Linked DNA regions of Ovis aries. The protein of the gene in region 1 interacts with the protein of each later gene in a pairwise test. Links are inferred from orthologs where the notes say so. Each region holds a gene or a part of one and is shown on either strand. Other genes may lie near its edges.

The links. The genes of interacting proteins can lie anywhere in the genome.
Region 2: the proteins of DMRTB1 (region 1) and VASP interact in a two-hybrid assay, tested with the Homo sapiens proteins (2 studies listed by BioGRID and IntAct). The two-hybrid records come from large-scale screens. The link is inferred for Ovis aries from reciprocal best matches to the Homo sapiens genes DMRTB1 and VASP.

The regions. Positions count from the first base shown.
Region 1 is NC_056054.1:27,981,453-27,985,818, reverse strand, and holds the start of DMRTB1 (doublesex- and mab-3-related transcription factor B1), read right to left. Parts: upstream 2,869-4,366; 5' UTR 2,548-2,868; coding exon 1,962-2,547; intron 355-1,961; coding exon 149-354; intron 1-148.
Region 2 is NC_056067.1:52,898,501-52,902,145, reverse strand, and holds part of VASP (vasodilator-stimulated phosphoprotein), read right to left. Parts: intron 2,780-3,645; coding exon 2,608-2,779; intron 2,525-2,607; coding exon 2,359-2,524; intron 1,294-2,358; coding exon 1,200-1,293; intron 702-1,199; coding exon 652-701; intron 532-651; coding exon 290-531; intron 155-289; coding exon 54-154; intron 1-53. UniProt on the Homo sapiens protein: Ena/VASP proteins are actin-associated proteins involved in a range of processes dependent on cytoskeleton remodeling and cell polarity such as axon guidance, lamellipodial and filopodial dynamics, platelet activation and cell migration.

The sequences.
Region 1 (4,366 bases):
ACAAGGCCAATGCTGTATCCTTCCACCCATTGCCCATGTCCTGGTATAGAGTGAGCACAATGGCTGGCTGCCTGGGAGAAAGTCTGTTAAAGCAGCCAGGGCAGCTGAAATAGGGAGGAACTTCGAAAATATCAGGAATGGGACTCACCAAGCCTCCTCCATAGTAGTGGCTATAGGACAGGTGCTGGAAACTCTGCTGCAGAGGGATCCCCACACTTGGGGACGCATCCTGGTAGCCCAGAGGAAAAGGGCGGTAGGGGTGCATGCTGGAGCAGCTGGGGTACAGCTTGGGAGGTTCTCTCTCCAGGCACTCAGACCCCACCACAGAATCTGAGTTGATGCTCAGAGGGAGCCCTGAAAAGACATGCAACGAGGGAAGTGTTAAAAACACATGGAGCTAGAAAAAAGGGCACCATATTATCGTCTGAAGGTAGCAGTATAAATAAACACTCATATCCATTCACAGACAACTCCCATATCCATTATGCTTTTGATCCTCCCTGCTTTTTAAACCCTTCAACCATGTTCTGTTGCCCTCAGCAAAAGTCCTTGGCCCAGCCATGAAGCCCACGCAGACTGCATTCCTGCCTTCACTCCAGCCTCACTGTCTGATCACTAGTAGCGCCTTCTTTCTCCTCCACCTCAGGGCCTCTGCAGATGCTGTCCCCTCTGCTTGGAAGGCTTTTTTTCCTAACTCCACTTGCCTTCTTGAATCCTCAGTGCTCAGCTCCTGATCTTCCTTCAGACCACAGCTAAACCACTGGTTATTAGAGTTCTCTGTGATGTCCTTTTCTTTCACAAGGACAAGATCCTTGAGGGCAAGGAATCTGACTCACCCCTCTTCACCTTTTCATCACTAGTGCTGGGCACACAGTGCTCAGTTGATGGAACAAAGAAAGGCTCCATATCCGTAGAAAGGTATCCTTCTCCTAGAACTGCTTTTCAGATCTGTCTTCCTCATCTAGTTCTCTAGGGACCTATATTTTCCTAGAACGTCCCAGAAGGCAGAACTGGCCTTCGGAGAGCATCAAGCCAATCCCCTTAGCCTACAGAGGGGCGAGGCTGTCACAGAAGGAAGGAACTTGCCTTAGATTACCAAGTGAGCAGCCCCTCAGCGTCCTGACTCAGACTTGCGCTCTTTCTACCACACTGCCATAGAGAAAACCAGAAAACACGTGTCTGCACCCAAAATGAGCCCCTTTTTAAAAGTCTCAAACCTACATGTGACTTGAAATTATAATAGTGAAAGTTACAATACCTAGGGAACAATGTAATTTATGCATGTGGAGGGAGGAGAGAAAAACAGCAACCACGTCTCAATAGACTGTTCTCTTGTAGGGAGCAGAAAAGAGGTCTCATTCCCATCCATGCCTGGGAAACAGGTGGGAAGAACGCCCATACACAGCCATTGGGCCAGAGCACGGCTGAGGAGCAAGCTGACTAGGGCACAGAAGATGGGGGAGGGGTGGGCGGAGGGACGCAGGTGCAGTCATAAGGCGCTGGCCCACCCACGAGGACGTTCTGGGGGAGGAGCCTCCAGCACCAGAAAAGGGTGGGAAGAGTTGCGCAAGCGCAATATGGCCACTCTCCCGCGATCCCCTCTGTTGGGAGGAGGAGCCTCAGCTAAGCAGACTGGGGGGCCATTTTTTTTGTGTGTGTGCGGCCATTTTTTTTTTCTCCCGGAATGGGAAAGCAGAGACTATAGCTAAATGTTTTTTAAAATTACCCCCTCAGAACCACCCATTCCTTTCTCTCTTTTTACCTTCTTGCAAAAAGGCACCAAACCCAAATGCCTACTCAGAAAAAGGTATCCCGAAGCAAGATTCCCTCTAGAAAGCATCTTCCCACCCCCACCCCAAGGGCCCATACGCGCGGCTGGCCTGGGACGCCAGAGTGAGGGAAGTGGGGAGGCGGAGAGGAACCAACAGCGGGACAAAGGCTCAGGGCACCGGGAATCTTACCGAAGTCGGTGAACGGCGGGCTCGGCACAGGCCGCGGCAGCCTGCGCAGCTCCAGGCAGCCGGGGTAGCCCCGGCCGGCGGCCTCCGCCGTCAGCTGGGGCTCCAGAGAGCTGGGCCTGGCCCTGGCTGCTTGTTCGCTCAGGCCCACGTGGCCGCGGTTGTGGCCGCCCAGAACTGGCTGGAAGGCACTCGGGCTGGGGCTCTGGCCCCGCGGGGGCCTCTCAGGGAGGCAGGCGGCCGCTTGGCCCGAAGGGCCCGGCTGCGCGTCTCCCAAAGGGGCAAGCGGAAGCAGCGGGCAGAAGCTTGGGCCTGGGGTGGCGGCCGCGCCCCCGGGGGCCAGCTGGGGTCCCTGTGCGCACAGGGCCACCTCCTGCTCCTCTCCAGAGGCCTGCTTCTTGAGCATCTTTTGTGCAGCCACGATCTTCTGGCGCTCGGTGATCAAGTAGCACTTCTCGCAGGTGCACTGCTTCCAGCGGCACTTGCCCGCGTGGCCCTTGACTGGTACCAGGAAGCCATGGTTCCGGCACCGCGAGCACTTGGGGGTACGAAGCATCTTCTTGGCCTGCTTTGTAAGGTCTGCATTCATAGCACAACCGTCTCCTCTGAAAGCTTCAGGGACAGTGAAACAGAGAGAAGCAGTCCGCCCAAGTCCCTGGTGCTGGGAGCTTTGGATACACTTGTAACAAGGTGGTGTTCAGTGCGTCCCAGGAGCTGCAGCAAGACCCTTGCATTCTCTCTTTTCTTTGGTGCAAAATTTGGAGAGGTTCTGTGCCTTGGTTAACAAGATGCAAAGGATTGGGTTGAATAAGTTCTTCAAGTAATGCTATTGCATGTATGTCATCTGGGTTAGCTGAGTCTTATGCATGTAATTTCCAAACTTTCTCTTCCTGCCGTACGGTATACAGAAGGTATTTCATGATTAAAAAAAAAAAAAAAAAAAAGGCGGAGTGATACTCAAGGATTCACAGATTCAAAACTCCAGAGGAACGCAGCTGTTGGTAAACCTGTTGCAGTAGAAAAGGATTCCAAGTGTCAAACCGTGTTTCTCCATACAGAAGCTGCTGCTTCTGTTTAATTTCACTTTTTTCCCCTACAGAGAAGCAACTGTTCACAGTGATGCTTCCAGAATATTCTCAGGAGCTCAGTGCGGTGTGATGGTTGCTCAAGGGTGTGCCTTTAGAGTAATTACCATTTTTAAAGTCTAGTTGGTATAGGAATGCATCTCTGGAAGTGGCATATTGCAGTTGATGCCTTCCAAAGAAAAGCATACTTAGAATGATTTAAAGTAAAAGGGACTTAGGATATTTTAGCATGAGCTTGAACCAGTACTTAATTGTGCCATGAATTCAGTTATTCCTGTAAAGCAACCCAAATCTTGGGACACCTGCAAAGCTGCCATAACTTCATAGTTTTCCCAAGACTGCTAAGCTAATTCATTTTCTTGTTTGATAGAAATTCGTGACACCCTGATGTCTCCCCCCCCCACTCCCCCGCTTAGGTCCCAAAAAGAAAGAAAGGAAAAAACAAACAAACAAACGTCATCATAGGATTAATCATTACCTTTAAGGGGGTTCAGTTCAGTTCAGTTTAGTCGCTCAGTCGTGTCCGACTCTTTGCGACCCCATGAATCACAGTATGCCAGGCCTCCCTGTCCATCACCATCTCCCGGAGTTCACTCAGACTCATGTCCATCGAGTCAGTGATGCCATCCAGCCATCTCATCCTCTGTCGTCCCCTTCTCCTCCTGCCCCCAATCCCTCCCAGCATCAGAGTCTTTTCCAATGAGTCAACTCTTCGCATGAGGTGGCCAAAGTACTGGAATTTCAGCTTTAGCATCATTCCTTCCAAAGAAATCCCAGGGCTGATCTCCTTCAGAATGGACTGGCTGGATCTCCTTGCAGTCCAAGGGACTCTCAAGAGTCTTCTCCAACACCACAGTTCAAACGCATCAATTCTTTGGCGCTCAGCCTTCTTCACAGTCCAACTCTCACATCCATACAAATACCTGGCTAAAATGTGTATTTTTTAATTGTCCTTTCGCTGAAGTTTTCCGTACCTGGTAACAGAATGGTAGAAGTGAGAGCCAAGGCCTGGTGTTCACCTTGATCTTCCTGAGCCGCTGGTTGCAGGTGTACTTTGCATTTCTCACCAACTACCTGACAATAGGAAATGGTTGCCATTCTGAGGCTGATTATATACTGGAAAGCTGAAAAGATGTTTGTAAAGTTTTTTTCCTGCTTTGAAGAAATATATTACTCATCTTAAGAGGGCAGAAGTATATGTTTCCTGTATAATTTGACCCTTTAAGAATGTCACTGTTATTTCAATCCGTTTAAAGAGATCTAGGTTTGTCTCTGCTTTGCTCTAACAGCCTGTATCTTAATTTTTTATTTAAAAAATATGGT
Region 2 (3,645 bases), on another chromosome or scaffold:
GGTTTGTTTTGAGAGCTTTCCAAGACCATTGAGAGCTCTGAGCTCGGGCTCACCTCCGGGCCAGCATGGCGTTCATCTCCTCCATGAGGCCTCCGCCCGTGCTTCGACTGCTCTCAGCTTTGGGGGCCACGGGCCCCGCTGAAGCCTCCTCCTGCTGGAGAAATTACAGAGAAGAGAGGGCTTTACGGGCGGGCCTCCCAGCCCTCCTGTGAGGCTCCCAGGCAACTCTAGCCTCATTCCATTATTATATCAGACCCGTCACCCCACATCCGCTGCGCCTGCCCCTCACCTTGCTAACTTTCCTGAGTTTGGCGCCGGCAATGGCTGAGGCCAGGCTGGGGGCCCCGGTCCCTCCACCACTGGGGCCTTGTGCTGTGGGGAGAGGGGGTGCCGGGGGCGGGCCTCCCCCTGCTCCCTGTGTGGCGGCCGAGACCCCTGAGGAGGAGAGACCAGGGGGTGGGGGTGGACCTGGAGGAGGGGGAGGTCCCGGGGGCGGTGGAGGTGCCCCAGCTGGGGGAGCAGGCGGGCCTCCTGTAAGGAACACAAAACAGGAGGGGTGCTGAGAGAGAAGCTTCATGCTTTGCTGTCCGGCTGGCCCACCCCCTCCTCTGGGGCGGTCCCCTGACCCCCCGAGGCCATTTGAGCAATCACCTGCGTTGGAGGCTCTGCGCTCCCGCTCCATGAGCTCTGACTGCTGCTGCCTGGGGAGGGAGGGCGAGTGGCTATCACCCAGGGCTCCCAGGTGGCCAGCAACCTCCCGGATTGCCCCTCAGAGGTGTCCGGCAGGGCTGGTTCCTAAGCCCCACTCATGTCCTCTATCCCCGAGGGACCCGGGAAAGGGCTGGGGGGTGGGGTGGTGAGGGCAGGGACAGGGCAAGACCGGGATGGGAGCGATCCAGTCATCAGACCATCATGAATCACAAAACGCCCAAGATCCTTTAAACAACCCCGTTCTGGACTCTGCAAGTCCAGGGGACTGGGATTGGGATTTGAAGGGTTCTGTAACTCTGGGCATCAGGAGTTTTTCAAACTCCAAGGCGGGGAGGGTGGTTCTTAAGGCTGTGGATTTCTAGTCCCCTGGGAGTTGGAACATTCTGAAAATTGAAAGTTGGACAGGTCTGAACTCTAGGCGTCAAGGGTTTTGGAACCACCTAGAACTCTGGCTGGGGGAAGGTTTCCCACCCGGGGACCAGCCCCACCTTTTCTGCTGCTCCATCTCCTCTGGCGAGGGGCCATTCTGGGCAGACCAGGTGGGAGGCGCTGTAGGTGGTGGTGGGGGCGGGGGCCCACCTCCTGGAAGTGAGAGTAAAGGCTAGTGAGTCACACAGAAGCCAGCCCCACCCCTTGGCACGCTCCCGAGGGGCCTCCGGGTACCCTGTGAGGAGGGTTGGCTCCCGCTTCCCCTGACTGAGCTGACAGGTGGTGGGCACTGGAAGGATACCCAGATCACAGGCAGGACAGCGAAGGCCCATAGAAGGGGGTCACCCACCCCAAGGCCTGCAGATGGGAATTGGCAGGGACAAGACTTGAATTCAGGCAGATTCCAGAATCCAGGCTCTTAACGCACAGTCACAGCTGCTCAGACCCCCTACCTGAGAGCTCAGAAGAGGCTGACAGCCCCCTCCTCACCCAGCCTCAGGCCTCCGGCTCCCGTTATTTCTTGTGCTTCAGACTGCCACTGCAGTTGCCCTTGGAAGCAAATGCCTCCACCATTTGACAACTGGCGAACCTAGACGCACAGCCGTCACCTAAAACCGTTGCTCCTCAAAGTGCTCCTTATGGACCGGTCAGCTCTGGCATCATCAGGGAGCTTGTTGGGAAGCACAGAGGCTCCGGTCTTGGCCCACCTACCTGATTCAGAATCTGCATTTTTTCTTAGATGACTCGCAGGCACATTCCAGTTTAAGAAATACCAACTGGAAGTATTTTCTTAACATTGTGGCTTGAAAACTGACTGACAATGATGTCAGTCAGTCTAATGGTTACCTGGAGAAAGGGCAAAGGAAACCTCCCGGAGGCCTGAAATATTTCTATCTTGATCTGGGAGGTGGTCACAAAGGAGTGCGCAAGTGTAAAAATTCACGGAGCCAAATGGGCTCTTAGGAACCATGCGTTTGACACGTGGGTGCACGCAGGGCAAAGAGGAGCCCACAAAATTGGGTTGGCGAAAAAAACCTATTTGGATTTCTCCGTAGCATTGGAAAAACCTGAATGAGCTTTCCGGCCAGCCCAGAAACTCTCCGTAGCAGCAGTGAATGGGCCCTGTTTTCAGATGAGTATACTGAGGCCGAGTGGTAAAGGGGCAGCCCCAGGCCCCACGGCAGGGCTCAACGGTCCCCTCCGCCCACTGTCTCTAACCTTCCAAGGCCTCTAGGGCGCTGGCCATGCCATTGGCAAACTGCGTGGCATCCTCCTTGCTGCCAAAGTTGAGGCCCCAGACTTGCCGGGCATCGCGCCACTGGTGGAAGTTGGGGGTGGCTTGGTTATACTTGACACCTCGGACGATGGCACAGTTGATGACCACCTGGCGGGAGGCAGGGAGGGGAGAAGTGGATGGGGGTGGTGAGGCCCCGCAGGCAGAGGGGGCGAGGAGGAGGGGAGCCTCACCTGCTGGTCCGGCTGCATCTTGCGGCCGACCACCCGGAAGGAGTTGGCGGTGGGGTTGTGATAGATCTGGACGCGGCTGAAGGCCTGCGGGCCCGTGCCGGCGGGCAGCCAGCGCTTGTTGCTGTCATCATAGAGCATCACCGTGGCCCGGCTGGTGCACACAACCGTCTCGCTGCAGAGAGGCGGGCGGGGGCAAGGGGGAGAGGCCAGTTAGCTCTGGGGAGCCTGGCATCCTCCCCCCAGGGGCCGGTCACCTTCTCGTTCCCCTGGGAGATTCACAGACACAAAGTCAGTGTGCCAGGAAGAGGGACCCAAGGAGAGGAAGAGGAAGACAGACCGAGAGAGAGGGCTGAGGACAGGCCCTCAGAGAGACCCAGACAGGGAGACTGGAGAAGAAAAAGACGGGTGGGACGACAAAAGACAGACTGGGAGAGACAGACAAATAGACAAACCGGGGGATGTGAGACAGACAAGGAAAGAGACAGACAGTCAAACGGGGAGCAAGAGACAGGAAGAGGACGAGTCAGACCGGCTGGAAGAGGCAAACATACAGACTGATGACGGGGAGAGAGGTAAGAAAGGGGGTCAGATTGTTACAGGGGAGGCGGACTGAGATGGACCGAGAGACAGAGATGTGGCGTGAGAGCTGATGGGGGGGGGCCCGGGAGAAGCGGATGCAAGGGACAGAGCAGGTGTCCTGGGCAGCATTGGGAACAAGCCCCTGCCCGATGCCCTTGGAGCCTCAGTTTCCCTGTCTCTGCCAGGAGGCTTGGACCTTCCTGCCCCGACTCCCCACTGTGGAGGGAGGAAGCTGAGGCTCAGGGAGGTGAAGGGTGAGGCTTGCAGCAAGTTGGGGACCGATGCAAGATCCCAGGCTCTTCCCCTTCCTGCTGCCCACCCCATCCATCCGGCACCACCCACCCTCCCCCGCCCCCTGGCACCAACGGCCATCAGCAGACACTCCCTGCTCTGTGTCCAGCAGTGACCCAGACAGCCCCAGCCCCCACCCTGCAGGGCAGGAGAGCATCGCAAGGGACT